Struthio camelus: one gene and its partner. The protein of the gene in region 1 interacts with the protein of each later gene in a biochemical or structural test. Links are inferred from orthologs where the notes say so. Each region holds a gene or a part of one and is shown on either strand. Other genes may lie near its edges.

Region 1 (7,104 bases):
CCGGCTGCGGGCGCCCTTCGAGCCCGAGCGGGCGGGTGCGAGAGCCCGCGGCACACGGCACCCGTCTCGTTTGGAGGCAAGGCGGTATTTGCCGGACAAATTAACGGGCACCTTGGCGCGTACCAGTAAATACCGCCCTTCTCTCCAGGTGTGGAAGCTGAATGCAGAGGCAGAGCAATGTTTCCGAAAGCAAAAACTCAGAAGAGGGTGTGATAAATAACCTCATTAGGAAGGAGGTTTCAAAGTACAACGGCACTGCTCGTTCTGATTCAAACCCGAGTAGAAAAAAGAGCTGCCGGATGACTGACTCATCGTTTCTGATCAGGCAGGTGACCTGCTGGAAATGAAGTTAGAAGAAGTACCGCTTTATTCACAGGTTTCCAAAGAACAGAACTAAATGGTTACATTATGTAAACAATGACATTAGGTAAAGAAAAATAGGACTCGAAAGCATGTTCTCTATAATCCAGTTGATTTATGATTACCGTTCGTCCTCCTGCAGACTGAGAGGGGAGACTATTCCTCTTTAAAGAAAACTCCTCATCAGACTTGGGTTAAAAAAGGATCAGATTTGTTAAGTCAGAGTTCTGTATGCCAGCTGAAATGCAAGGGCATGAACGCTAAAAGGGAAAAAGCAACATTACACAATGTCAACATGCTTTTTTGTAATAGCTGTGTGATCCTGGATAGTGCCAAAACAGTTTTGTCGTAGCTAATTCTCTTGCCAAAATGCTTTTCAGTAACGAAGCGTGAAGTCTGCAAAGGCTTACACTAGTGCCTGACTTTGTCCTGACTCACGGTCCTTGGCGGGTGCAGTGCCACCATCAGTTTTAGTAATCTATAATGCATAGAGGGTTAGTAATCGGGGGGCTCAACATCCAGGCAGCAGCAAGCAGCAAGCCCAGAGGTGGAGGCAGGGAGTGACAGCGTTCAACAGCTTCATCAGTGACCTGGATGAAGCGTCCTCACACATCTGCAAACGTTACCAACTTTCTCCTCTTGCTCTCTCCTTTGAATAATCTCCCTGCCTTTTCCTGAGGTCCCCTGCAGCTCCTGTCCACTTTGACCACCTTTCCTATTTCTTACTTATGGCTCGAAGCAGATCAAGTCAAACGTATCTTTGGCCAGGCGTGCAAGGTGGACAGCAGCAAAGACCAGGACCCTCAGGAAGGTGTTGATCTACTCACAGCCTGATCTTGGGACTATCCGGCAGCTATGATGCTAGGAGAGCTCTCTGTAGATAAGCCACGGAGACTGTTGCTTCCTGCTTCGCCAACCTCCCTGGATTTATAGTCCTCTACTGCAACCTGTGAGGGGTTGGCCGTGATAAAAGAATTTGCTGAATCTGCCAAGAAAGGAGGTGGACTCTGTCCCCTCCCAGCCACTATCAACAGGGTGGCTCTGCAGTTCCCCGAGGAAGCTGCCTGCCTTTCTTCACTGCTGGAGAGCAGGTGCAATCTTGCTACTGCTACAGGAGGTAGGAAAACAGGGAGATCCATACTGACCATGAAGAAGCCCATCTATTCTCTATCCAGCCTAAATCAGCATGTATCTTAGAAGTATTAGTCCACATCATGCAAGCAGATTTGTTTCTGTCATAAAATCTGTACAATCTTGTGCCCATGCACACATCTTAAAATAAGGTACCACCTTTCTGCTATGACCAGCATGGGTGTTGATACGCATATACACACTTAACCGTTTGTGTAGCATGGCACACGTGCATGTCTGTCCCGTAACCGAGCAATTACAATAGGTTGAGGGACGGACACAAAAGCAGGCACAGGCAGGGGGACAGGTCATGGAGGCCTTTGGAAAGAGGGAGCAGGCCATCCGGCAGGCCCAATGGCCCAGTTGACCTCTTTTTGGCTGTAACACCCCCAGTACAATGGTTCGGGATGCGGGGGGAGTGTGAGGAAAGCGACCACAGAGCGGCACCCAGCTCACATGCTCCACCTAAATGGCATCTCTCATTGCCAGGTACATCCCTGCCCAGTCCTGCATTAACTGCTGGTGGACCTGCTGTCCATGAATTAGTCCAATCCTTTTTTTGAACCTGCTGACACTCTGCCTCCACAGCCTTCTGTAGCAACAAAATCTGAAAGTTTCTACATTTTCTGCATCTGTATTTTTTTTTTCTGCCCACTTGAACCTGACCTCCTACCTGTTTTATCAAGTGCCCCACGTTCTCTTACTGAGGGACCTGGTGAGTAACAACTCAGCATCAATCAAATCCCCTCTCTGCTTTCCAAATGGAAGAGCCCCAGCCGTTTACTCTCTGCTCCATACCTGTACTATTTCGGTTGCCTTTCTCTGTACTTTGTTTCAGCAGTTTGTCACTGGGCTCCCCTGGGGTGCTGGTAAAAAGGTTGCGGGCTCAGAGGAGGGCTCCAGTCTCTGCATAGCTGTTCCTCGCACCGGATGCCTTTCCACCCCACTGTGCCCTGCTCCACGCCACCAGTCCCCTTGAAATGCCCCCCAGCAGGGTATCGGGTGGCAGGGGGCAGAAAGCGTCTGTCCCTTGTGCGGACACAGTGAGGCCAATTATAATGTCTTTTGAAAATCATTGCCCCAGCAAGGCCAGGAGCAGCTGCACAGGCTCGCTCTGGGCTCTTCTGCCTGCTGAGGTGCCGGGCACATCCCCGCGCCTGGTTCCCCTCCAGGCGGGTGCTCAACACGCTCCCTTTCACGGGAATGCCCCAGCCTCCCTGCACTCCCAGAAGGTGACTTTTCCAGAGTCTGAGGGTTGTTGGCTACATTTGGGGCATTTTGTAATACTTCAGTCTTCCTAAATCATCTCTCAAAACAATTTCTCTCCCTGCTGCGATTTATTTAAATCTGCAACACTGTTACCTAACATGGAAAGAAGCTAGTCATTCGGTTGGCCTGAAGGAAACTGCGTGCAACTGCAGAGTTTCAGAAATACAGCCAAAAAAAAAAAAAAAAGTGACCTTTTCCTAAATACTCCTTGGCGCAATGCCCTTGCTGATCTAGTTATTGCTCATTAAGGAAAAGCCAGCCGTCTTCGGAGGGAAAGAAGGAAAACTACAGCTCCCAGCAGCCTGCCTGGGCACCGGGGAAGGGCAGAGTTCACTGTCACGTTGACAGCGGAGGATTAAGAGTGCACGGCTGGGGAACGGGCTGTCCTGCCAACCGCGGGGCCACCAGGCCTCCGGGAAGGGCGCGCGCACGCTACGGTGCTGTCACCAGCCGCCTCTTGCAGCCCCTCTGCTTGGCTTCGCCACCTGGACCGGCTCCAAACCTGCACGGGTAAGCGCTGACTCCAGCAGAGACTTTGCTCCTCCGACTTCCTTCTTCTGCCAGCGTCACTGCGGGGACCCAGCGCGGGGAGGGGACGGGAGGGACGCGAGCCCAGCAGCAATTATATCCCCCCCCAGCCTCATAGGCAGCAAGAAAACCCGGTTATAGAGACAGCATCGGGTGGCAGAAGGTGCCCCCTTCGGCTAGGAGAGCTGCTGTAAAGATCGGATATTGAGGTCTTGTATTTCACGTAAATCTGCAGGAACTGGTCCCTGGCAGGGAAAGTTTCTCGTGCGTTGTACCTGCTCCCTGCTGCTCACCCTTGCTGGCTGGTGGTCGGGCAGGCGTTGCGCTCATGAAACCTATGGGCTGGAGTCTGTATTGATGGGGAAACGCGGGCACCAGAGAAGTCTGCTTCCACAGTGCCCGTTTCCTCTAAGACTCCCTGTCTGGAGGTTTCCGAGTGGTCTTGAAAACACAGCTTCGCTGTCTTCGGCTATGCCAGTAATACTAGCTACCTGCTGCGGGCGGCTGCCTGCTCCCACGGTGCTTCTGCTGCGGGAGGGACTATCGCTGCGGATGGTGTAGGAGAGTCGGCCCGCAGCTCCCAGTTTATTAATATCCATTAATTAACATTAAAAAGTAATTATTAATATCATAATAAAGCTAGGGCTTTGCTCTGTGTCGATGCAGCTGCGTTGTGCAGGATACCGGGTGTCTCCAATTGCATGTAAGAGCCTGCAGAGCCGCAGCCTCGAGGCCTGCAGTCTCGGAGGCGGCACAGCATGGCTGCGGCTGCCCGGCTGGATAAGAAACCCCTGCCCGGGCGTGCTGGCTTGTCCCAGGACAGCTCTGCAAAACTGGTGCAGCCCCTGGACTGTTTGTAGCCTGCTGGGCAGGTGAAATAGTTACTATTGTTTGGGCTCAAGCGCTCGTGTCATGCATTATTGGAAATGCGCCTGGGCACATCCATCCATTTTCACATCACCCAAGCAGCTTGATAAGTACAGACAGGGAGGGAGCAGCCTCCTCTTCCACTCAATCACAGCTTCTGCGCTTGTGCTTATCAGTTTTACTGGTGGTTAGTTGCAATTCCTGAGGCCCTGAAGGGATGGTGTCTGCGTGCAGGGGTAGGACTTGCTCGGCCACTCAAGCGGCAGGGAGACAAGTCTCCTTATGACCAAGTCGGAAAGTGAAACAGAACAGTGCAGAGCCCAGGACTCCAAGAGAGCAAGAAAATGGAAGAGAATCCAAATGCGGACCTCTGCCAAGGTAAGCAAATCCCACTCGTGCTCCATGTACTGCCCCTTTGCAAGAAAATTTCAACAGTGAAAAGGGAAACCTGAAGCAAGAAAGAGAAAGCGGCTATCTTTTGCGGGGGTGGGGAGGGAGGGGAAGGATAAGTTACTTTCAGTTTTGGATTCCCAGCAGCAACAAGCTTAGACTTGGTGTCCAGGACTGTAGCGCAAGAAGGACTCCAGAATGGGAGAGGTTTCTTCCCAGCCTCCCAGCGCTTCCCCATGAGAGGCAGCTTTGTTGTGAAGCTGGTTGCAGAGAGGAGAATACCCTCTCTGGGGCAGCAGGCCAGAGAGAGGACAATCCAGTAGAGCAACTCCCATCGCGGGGATACATGCAATGGGTGGCAGGGGCTGGAGAGCAACTCCTTCCTATTACCGCTGAGGAAGAAGAGGCTCTGTTGAACACTGGTATCTCAGACGGACCCCCTTAGAAAGGCAGCTCTGAGTTTATAACAAAATACACTTCCATTTGAGCAGCGAGCCTCAAAGGCTTATTTATACCTGGCAGGCAGGCACACATTTCACACAGAGACAACTTGGCTCAAGCTCAGGATCCAAACTGCAGAGCCCAGATTCCACAAATCTACAGGTGCTTAAATAACAAGCCCTTCTTCCACCATCTATGGATGGGAAACCTCCCTGGACAGGCGCTGTTTGTGCCCAGTTTGAATAGCAGGATACCTCTCAGGTTCCTCACGTTTCAATGTCTAGCATGTACTTACATTCTCCTGGTACCTTGTTATTAGTAGTACATGTGGGTATTTCAGTGATGCCTAGATGCTATAATCAGATAAGACCTGTCCTAAGCGTTCTGAAATGTTCCCATAATAATCAGCAACAAAGAACGTAATAATCATGCTCCAAAGGACAGTGTGTTCTGACACGAAACCAGTGCAGCTATTTGTCTGTTTTCAAATTAGTGGGGAGTTCCTTGCGATTTTTAATCAATCTTTATTCTAATTTTAGCACAATCATTTCTGTCACTGTAGAGCTAGATCTGTAGGATCATTCACACTCCCGCCCTTTTTGTTTAAAAAAAAAAAAAAGTCAGATTTGAGCTGCAGTGTTAAGCATTTGCAAGATTCCAGATCTTGCCAAACTAATGTTCAGCTTCAGAATCTCTCTGTTGAATTCCTCTCTGATATTTGCTCTTAATTTGCTGCTTCTACAATACCTGATCTTAACTGTTTGGGAGAACAGCTCCAGAACAGGGACAGAGCACAAACAGAGCTAACATTTAATTTTTTTTCAGGCAGATGCTCAGAGTGTTGACATTAACTATTCCGGCCAATATCCAACAACAGCTTTAGAAACGCTTCAGATCAGTCATCTTAATTTACCAGCCTAGGAAAACCACTGTCTGTGGAAGATGTGGTAACATATCCTAACACTTAATGAAGAAACTGCTCCCCATCATAGGGCAACGTTAACGGGGTTTGTGCATTAAAAGCATTTCTATTTACCAGCCCTGGACAGGTTGAAGTGTAGATAGAGGAGTGTGTCCCTAAAAGTGATTAGTCATTGCGTAGCCACTATTGCAGTCACAAATGCAAAGACCCAGTTGAGTCCTTTTTGAAAGCATGAGGCAGCACGATTCATTGGTGATGATGGCTGGTCACAGTAAATTCTGTTCTTGGCAATTTGTTTGTATAGATGTTTCTGAAATGCAAAGACTGGGAGTTTTGCCGGGTGGTGGTAAAGAAGTAGATTTTCTTGACTCCTGTATGGAGATTTGAGCTGTGAACTCTGATGCCAACAGCTGGGCCAGCCCAGGATGAGGGGGAGAGCACAGCAGAGCATCCTGCCCACCAAGAGAGCCCCCGAGAAGCACTTGGGCACCAAGTGACGAGCAGCTGGCCTGAAACCTCCTGCAAACCAGAGGAGAGGGATCCTGCAGTGGGTGAATCATCGACTGCTGCTGGGGGCAAGGTGACACACTTGGGGCAGGCTGGCCCTACAGTAGAGGAGAAGGTCCCCCAGGAAACCAAAGCGTCATTGGAAGAATCTGGAGAGACAGGAGATGGTCTCTCAGAAAGATCCCAGGCAGAAGATGACACAGATGGAGGTGAGTCCTCTCCCCATCTGTGTGTTTGCATGGCACTTCCAAAATGCTGATAACCAGGGGCTTTGCTGAGAGGAGGCAGAACAGAAGAAAGGACTGTTGGTTCTTGTGCTTGAAGAGGCTGAGCTTAGGTCTGTGAATTTTGTTCCCTACAGCCAGGCTAGCTCAAAACAAAACAGACAGCAAAGGAGAGAGCCCTGTCTACCAGGAAACACACGGGCACCAGGAGACAAGCAGGCAAGACAAAAGCTCCCACAGACCAGAGGAAGGTGATTTATCAATAGGCAAGTCACTGAACTCCGACAGTAAAAGGCGACATTCAGGTCCGACTGCCACAGAAAGTGTCACCAGCAGCCTCTTGGCAGAGGAGAGTGCCAGTGCCTCCCTCCTAGATGAGGAGCCAGCAGAGCACACGAAGCAAGAAACTCTGGAGAGTGAATCCCATAGCATGCTAAGGAACAGACGTGGGACCGAAGGTGAGTT
Region 2 (7,104 bases), on another chromosome or scaffold:
GACTTTTTCTTTAAGTTATATCTTGAACATGTGCTAGAAATGCCTGCCTAGTCTGTGATTATAAATGATGGTTTACAATTGAGAGAAGCCATTCTGTAGGTTGCCAAAGCAGACAGGTGGTCAAGCAAACATAGATTTTACTAGACAGGAGATGGGAATTAATTTCCTGGAGAGCCTCTCATACTGCAGCCATCTGGAGGAAAGGCAGCCTTCTGCTGTGTCTAACCACGCCTGCAGGGGTGATTTAGAGTCAGATTTGTGTGTTCCAAAGGAAATGAAGAGTCTTACAACCACTTTTGATGAACTAGTGCTACTGAAGTTTGGTGGATCCCATCTTGCGTGTATCGATTACTCATAGAACCGATTACAAGAATGCTTGTTCTGAGGTTGCGTTGTTTCTGCTTAGTTGTAACAGATGCTATAGAGGTATGTGCATCCGAATTACACTACTGAATAACCATAATATTCTGTATCTGATGTCTTCCTTTTCTCAGTTTATCATGAGGAGCTAAATGCACCAGTGAGAAGGAATAAAGAAGAACCAAAGCCCCGTCCACTGAGAGTGGGGGATACAGAGAGGCCAGAACCTGAGCGTAAGTTCCTAATCTGATATATTTTTTTAAGTGGAGATACTGAAACTCTTCAGGGATCTTGCACAGAGTGATGAGGCTCTGCTTGCCTTCTCTTAAATATGGGGATGCTGAAGTAGCGGAGGAGTGGAGCAGTCTGTATTTGAAGTCCCATGGGAGGGTCTGGCTCCCCTGCTAGGTTACGCATGAAGACATCTGGATGGAAGATGTCTTTACAGATATCCAAGGCTGTCCAAGGTCAAGATTGAAACATTGACAAATCTGATTGCTGAGGGTGTGATGAGAGAGCTGGAGTAGCTAGGGATGCTGGGTTAAGGAGCATTGACTGCTAAGGGAATAACCAGATTTCACGCAGCAAGAGGATGTCAGTTGTGTGGCTTTAGAGGAGTTCACAGGGGAAGTGGTAGTGCTAAGGAAATGTCTCCTCCTTTCTGTTACATACGTGAAAGGACAGGAAATAATATTTTCTTGTATTTCTTTTGAAGGGTCTCCTCCAAATCGCAAACGTCCACCCAATGAAAAAGCAACAGACGATTATCACTATGAGAAATTCAAGAAGATGAATAGGCGATACTGATGAGAGCGCGGTCTGAAGTCTTTGCAGGAGCTGTTATTTTCCACCAGCACAGGATCTTGTGTCAGTGACTCGTGGAGGGGGTGGGAATCACTGCCTTCACATGCTGGTGTTAACTACAAGGCTTTTCTTGTTGTGATCCTGTAGTGAATCAGTTTGCAGGTGATTGTGAACTCTTCAGTCAGTAAAATCTTTTGTATAATTTATTTTCAGTTATAAAACTTCTTTTTTTAAGAACATGAGCTTTCTGGTTGGCATTTTTTAGTGGGAAGTCAGGCTTGTTTACAGATTCTTACATATTCTTAAAAAATACAAAGAAAGAGACCTTGTAAAGGCAGCAGTGCTGTTTGGCTTGTAAATGTAAGGGAAAAGGTTCAAGCCAGTTTGCTATAATCAGCTTCGTAAGAGACTTCTTGTTTGTTCCCAAGGGTTTTTGCTGTGCAGAGCGTGTAAGATACCCCAGTAGCACGTTCAGTGCTGCTGCTCTTGGGCCCAGCTTCTGAGTGCAGACGGATGCCGGGAGAAATCTTGGCATTAGCTGTGCCTGGCCACAGCATAGCTTGGGTCGTCTCATCTGTGCTAGGAATGACAGCAAATACCGAGTAATGGAGGTTACACTTTTTATTTTATGGTGCGCAGTGTTGTTTTGTATCTTTTCCTCCCTCTGGACTTATTTCTACAGCAGTTCATTGCATTGTATTTTAGTTGTAAAGAATAAGGAAACTGGATCAGGTTGTAATTGCGTGAACGTGAGGAAAATCTCATGTTCAGCCGTCTTCGGATGGGGCCAGTGTGGCGGTAGGTGAAGAGGCCTGAGGCCTGTGAGAGCCACGTGTCCCCAGGAAACGTGATGTGAGGTAACCTGAGGGCAAGATTTTGAAATAAGAAATAATAAAAGTGTTTTTAAATTATCCCAAGTGACAGTTTTTCTTTCAGGGAAACGGGCAGCTAACTTCTCAGTGCTCGTGGCGATGACGGCCAGGGTGCCCTGCGGCCGTGAAGGCGTTAGCATCTCTTCATTGGGGAGTGGAAAGTCCGGGGACTTGGGGGATAGACCCAAATTTTTCATTTAAATAAAAAACAGGTTTAATAAAAAAAAAAAAGGGGGTGGGAGAGTACGTGTCTACAGGTGTGGGGCCGCGCCTCTGCCCTTGCAGCGCCTGCTACCGTGCAGGGACGCCATGGCTAACCGTTTCCAGGCGCGGCCTGTTTGAATTAAGCCCGTCAGGCTGTGCTGCGGGCCTTGCGGGGTCGAGTCACGTCATGTCGCGACACGAAGGCGCGTCACGTTGTTGTCCCAAAGAAGGGACGTGACGTGTCCCGTGACGGCGGCGGAGGGTGCGCTGCTAACATGGCCGCCTGCCCTTAGCGCCGGCTCCGCCTCTGCCCGGACCTAAGATGGCGGCGGCGGAAGCGACGCGCGGCGGCGGCGGAAGCAGCGGCGGCCGGGGCCGGGCCGGGCCGGGCCGGGCGGGCCATGAAGCTGCGGCGGGGCGCGCTGCCGGTGGCGCTGGCGCTGCTGCCGCTGCTGCCGCTGCTGGGGCCCGCGCGCGCCGTGGAGCCCATCAGCCTGGGACTGGCCATCGCCGGCGCCGCCGCTTCGGCCCTCACCGGCTTCATCTCCTACCCGCGCGTCTACTGTTACTTCAGGGAGTGCTGCCTCCAGCGCCACGACAGGCGCGCCGCCGCCGGTGCGGGCCGGGCCGGGCCGGGCCGGGCAGGCCGAGGGGATGGCCGCGGAGCTGAGCGACGAGCCCGGGGCGGCGGGGGGAGTCGGGGCCGTGGCCGGGGTCCCTCGGTGCCGGAACTGGGCAGGGGGAACCCAAGGGGAGACGCTCCCTGCCGCCCCCTCCTGCCGGCCCTGGTGGCGGGGGCGCGGCGAGGCCGCTCGGGGCCGGGGGCCACCAGCCGGACCCGCTCGGTTCCCTGTGGGGATGGGCCGGGCACCCGGTGCTCCAGCTTGGCCAGCCCTTTGATCCCTCGCTTGGGGTTGGCGGAGTTCGAGCTGGGGTTGGCGGTGATACGGGGCCCTCCTTAGAAACCAGTAGGACTTAAAACTTATTGTCTCTTTTGCTATTTTTTTTTCCCTTATGGTGTTATCTTCTCCATCCAGGCCTTCAGGAGAGCTTGGACAGAAAGCTGTTTGGACAGCACCTAGTGAACAAGGTGATTGTAAAGGCCGTGAAGGGCTTCTTGAATAACACAGACCCCAAAAAGCCTCTTGCCCTGTCCTTGCACGGATGGACTGGAACAGGCAAAAACTTTGTCAGTAAGATAATTGCCGAAAGCATTTATAAAAAAGGCCTGAAGAGTAAATACGTCCATCAGTTTGTGGCTACGTTGCATTTTCCTCATGCTGACAGCATCAATCTGTACAAGGTAAGAATACGTTGTGGATCTCCTAGCAGTAGAGCACAGTTCTGCAGCAGTAGCTGTTGTATTAATTTATAAAAGTTATGGCACAGTCAGCACTAGAAGCCTAGATGCTATTTTGCACTGTAAAATGTAGCCGGTGCCAGTTTTGGAATCTCTTAAACTGAATTGGATAAATCCTAACATGCACCAGGACTGATTTCCCATGAATGTAAAGCCATTTTCTGCATAATGTTTTGAGCCTCCCCTTAGAGAAAAATGATGTGGTTCATTTTCATTGCTATATACTTTGTCTAGAGATGCAGATCTAGAGATCTGCTTAATGATAAAGGGTATTCAGCAGGCTGCAAGGGATAGGTGATACGCTGATGGGCACTGCAAAAACAAATAAGAATTTATGACTCTGGAGAAACGGCTGACAGCTTTCAAGTATGTCAGGTACCGTGGATAGCTGAAGGGTATCTGAGACATGGGTGCGCTTTTCTCCTTCATCACACGCTGGGCAGTTTATTTAATTTTTCTATGTATCCATTTCCCAGCTGTAAAATCAAATTACAAAAGACTGTCTTCAGAAAGGTACAGATAAATATAGTTGGAATTGTTCTGCCAGTCTGCTAAAAGTGTCAGGGCAGTACTCTAGGTGGGTGGATGTAATGAGGGGCAGTACAGCGCAGACATGCATTTTCTGCGTTCGTGAGTTCTTCTAATGTTGTTGGTAGCAGAGTGTGAATGAGTAGCACTGTATTTCATGTTTATCTTCAACGTGTACATGTTGAAAATGGGAATAGGATGGGTTTCCTCCATACAGAAAGTAGGTTTGTAGACTGTTTCCTCTTTTATGGCCAACTGTTGCCCTTTTTGCAACTGGGCTGTTTTGAAATAAAATGGATCCTCTTCTGTCTTTGTTATGAGGTGAATTCATAACAAGTTTCTGCTTGGGAAACTTGCTGCCCGAGACAGTAGGAGGAGCTGTCACTTCTTATCTGCAGTACAGCCAGTGCTGTCTTCCTGTGTTGTCTCAGTGTGGTTCAGGGACCGATTAAACAGGGAACCTCAGAAAGTGATGAATCATTGAAAACAGTCAGAACGGTTACTACTCATTCATCTGCCAAACAGATCAATCCCCCCCCCCCCATTTATTTTTCTTACTATTTCATTATTATCTTAAATGTAACACTTCAATGAGAAAGTCTTTAAATCATTATAAAGTATTAGCCTTTCTAAACAATGCTGTGTTTTAAGAAGGGTTTGTAATCAGCTTCGCTTAACTTCTAGATGATTAAAACTCAGGACTGAGTGTTTAATTGTGTTTGTACTTATGCTAGTGACTCGGTCTATAAATGTGATTTTTTCACTGATGCTCTTCAAGTAGCAAATTTATATTGTTGTTTGGACACCTGAAGACATTTAGACCAAAGTGCTGCCAAAAGTAATCAGCCTAGCTGACAGGGCTTTGCTTTGTGTTGCTGTTTCGTGGTGGTACCCCTCCTTTGTCCTAGTGTGCGGACTCTCCTTTTTGCTGTGTTTACAGGAATATCTTTTCCATGAGGAGATTTCATGCTTGCCCCATCCTGTTTCTTGGTATCTGGTATTTTGAATCTTAAGTTTTCAGAACCAGTATGACATTTTGCTGTAGTGTTATTTACAGCTTTTAACACCTCTGGCTTCTTAACTAAAACATGGTTAAAGATGACATGATTGAAACGACACTTTCAGAACAAAAGTGAATAAGCACAAGACCTATTCTCTGTCTTTTCAAATGAACTCTTTCAATCACTTTTATTTTTATGCCTCTCAGGACCAGCTGCAGTCATGGATTCGGGGAAATGTGAGCATCTGTCCCAGATCACTCTTCATATTTGATGAAATGGATAAAATGCATGCAGGGCTCATTGACTCCATCAAGCCATTTTTGGACTACTATGAGCTTCTTAATGGAGTGTCTTACCGGAAAGCCATCTTCATATTCCTCAGGTAAGAAGTGGCCTCTCAAGTTTGCAGTTCTGTACACTCAGTGCACTACAAAACTGTCTCCAGCTGCAATCTTTGTTTTTTTTCTTTACTTAGCAATGCGGGAGCTGAAAAAATAACAGAGGTGGCACTAGATTTCTGGAGAAAAGGAAGGACAAGGGAAGATATACAGCTCACAGATATGCAGAATGCGCTGTCTGTGTCTGTCTTCAATAACAAGAATAGTGAGTAGAACTTTGATTGCTTTCAAGGTTGTAAATCCCTGTCTGGATTGACAGCTCCTCAGCCATTTCCGGTGTTGCACAAAGACATATATATCCCTGTTTTTTGGGTGCTTCTGTGCTTTTGGGAGCCACCACATCTAGTATAAAGATTTTCAGAGGAGTTTGGGCTTCTGCAAGATGCTGGATGAAGTCTCTGGAGATGTCTGCCAGATCATCCCGCTAACTTTGATGTATAGGAATGGATTCATCAGCTGTCGATGGTATGCCTGTGAGCAGCTGTGGTGTGAAAAATGTAAATCGTATGTTTGTTCTAGAACAGTAGAGAGATTTATTTGCTGGGAGATAGGTATATAAACAAAAGCGATGCCACGTTTAATGTACGAACTGCGCTTGTACAGCTGTGGCTTCCACTTGACATGGGCTCCGGTTTTCAGCTAGTGAGGAGCCATGGTGCAGGTCTGAGGCCTACAGACTGCTATTGAGATGAAATGGAGGTTAGGAACTCTGTGTGTGACTTGGCTACCGGCATGTTTACTCGGTGACTCTGTTGGGTTACGTATGTTGGGGATTGTCTACTCTGAGCGTTTATTGACATTTTAATGGGTTGCAGGGAAAAACAAGCAGAAAAGAAGCCTAGACGGTAAGATTAGGTATTGCGTTAGCTGATAAATCTTTGACCCATACAGCATTTTAATATGGAGAAGACGGTTACTTGCCTCCAGCCCAGTTAGATCACCTGTCTTGCTGAGGCTGGGCAAAGCCTTCAGGCAGCTTTTAGGAGCTATTCAGGGGAACAAGCTGACCTGCTGACCCTGCTGTGGGGAGTCCAATGCTTCCTGGGTGTTCTTGCATGGGATTTCCGGGGAAAAAGGATTTTAAGATAATTATGCTTTAATATTAGCAGTAGAAGCAAACCTACTGTATTTTTTTTTTTAAAAAAGGCTAGATGCAAGTTCCGAAAAAAGGAGCAAGGTGAGCTAGTCTCGGGGGGGCTGATATAAGAGACTGAAAAATCTGGGCTTCTGTAGGTGAGAGAAGTGAAGGTATGAGACCAGCAGCTGGGGAATAATGTATTCATGCAGTAGAGTTCCAAAAGATCACGTCTGTGAGTCTGTCCCAGACTTTATGCACAAAGTACTATGAGAATGGGCTTGTATTTGGGCTTTCTTGTCTGTCACAGGGCCCTAATTCACAAGTGAAATCTTTCTGTGGTTTCTAGCAGGGGGATATGATATTGCTCCCTTTTAACCCATAGAGGAGCACTACCAACCCTCCCTTCTCTTTCCCTTTGCAGGTGGTTTTTGGCACAGCACCTTGATTGATAGAAATCTCATCGACTACTTTGTTCCTTTCCTGCCTCTGGAATACAAAC

Evidence for each region.
Region 2: the proteins of torsin-1A-interacting protein 2 (region 1) and torsin-1A form a complex in vitro, tested with the Homo sapiens proteins (4 studies listed by BioGRID and IntAct, with this or other methods). The link is inferred for Struthio camelus from reciprocal best matches to the Homo sapiens genes TOR1AIP2 and TOR1A.

The regions. Positions count from the first base shown.
Region 1 is NC_090949.1:6,528,048-6,535,151, reverse strand, and holds the start of torsin-1A-interacting protein 2, read left to right. Parts: upstream 1-3,075; 5' UTR 3,076-3,270; intron 3,271-4,389; 5' UTR 4,390-4,499; coding exon 4,500-4,533; intron 4,534-6,318; coding exon 6,319-6,624; intron 6,625-6,776; coding exon 6,777-7,097; intron 7,098-7,104. UniProt on the Homo sapiens protein: Required for endoplasmic reticulum integrity. Regulates the distribution of TOR1A between the endoplasmic reticulum and the nuclear envelope as well as induces TOR1A, TOR1B and TOR3A ATPase activity.
Region 2 is NC_090961.1:6,713,748-6,720,851, forward strand, and holds the start of torsin-1A, read left to right. Parts: upstream 1-2,608; 5' UTR 2,609-2,641; coding exon 2,642-2,855; intron 2,856-3,277; coding exon 3,278-3,543; intron 3,544-5,335; coding exon 5,336-5,511; intron 5,512-5,604; coding exon 5,605-5,732; intron 5,733-7,026; coding exon 7,027-7,104. Other genes in the region: C20H9orf78 (splicing factor C9orf78 homolog), read left to right, coding at 495-593, 1,076-1,167. UniProt on the Homo sapiens protein: Protein with chaperone functions important for the control of protein folding, processing, stability and localization as well as for the reduction of misfolded protein aggregates.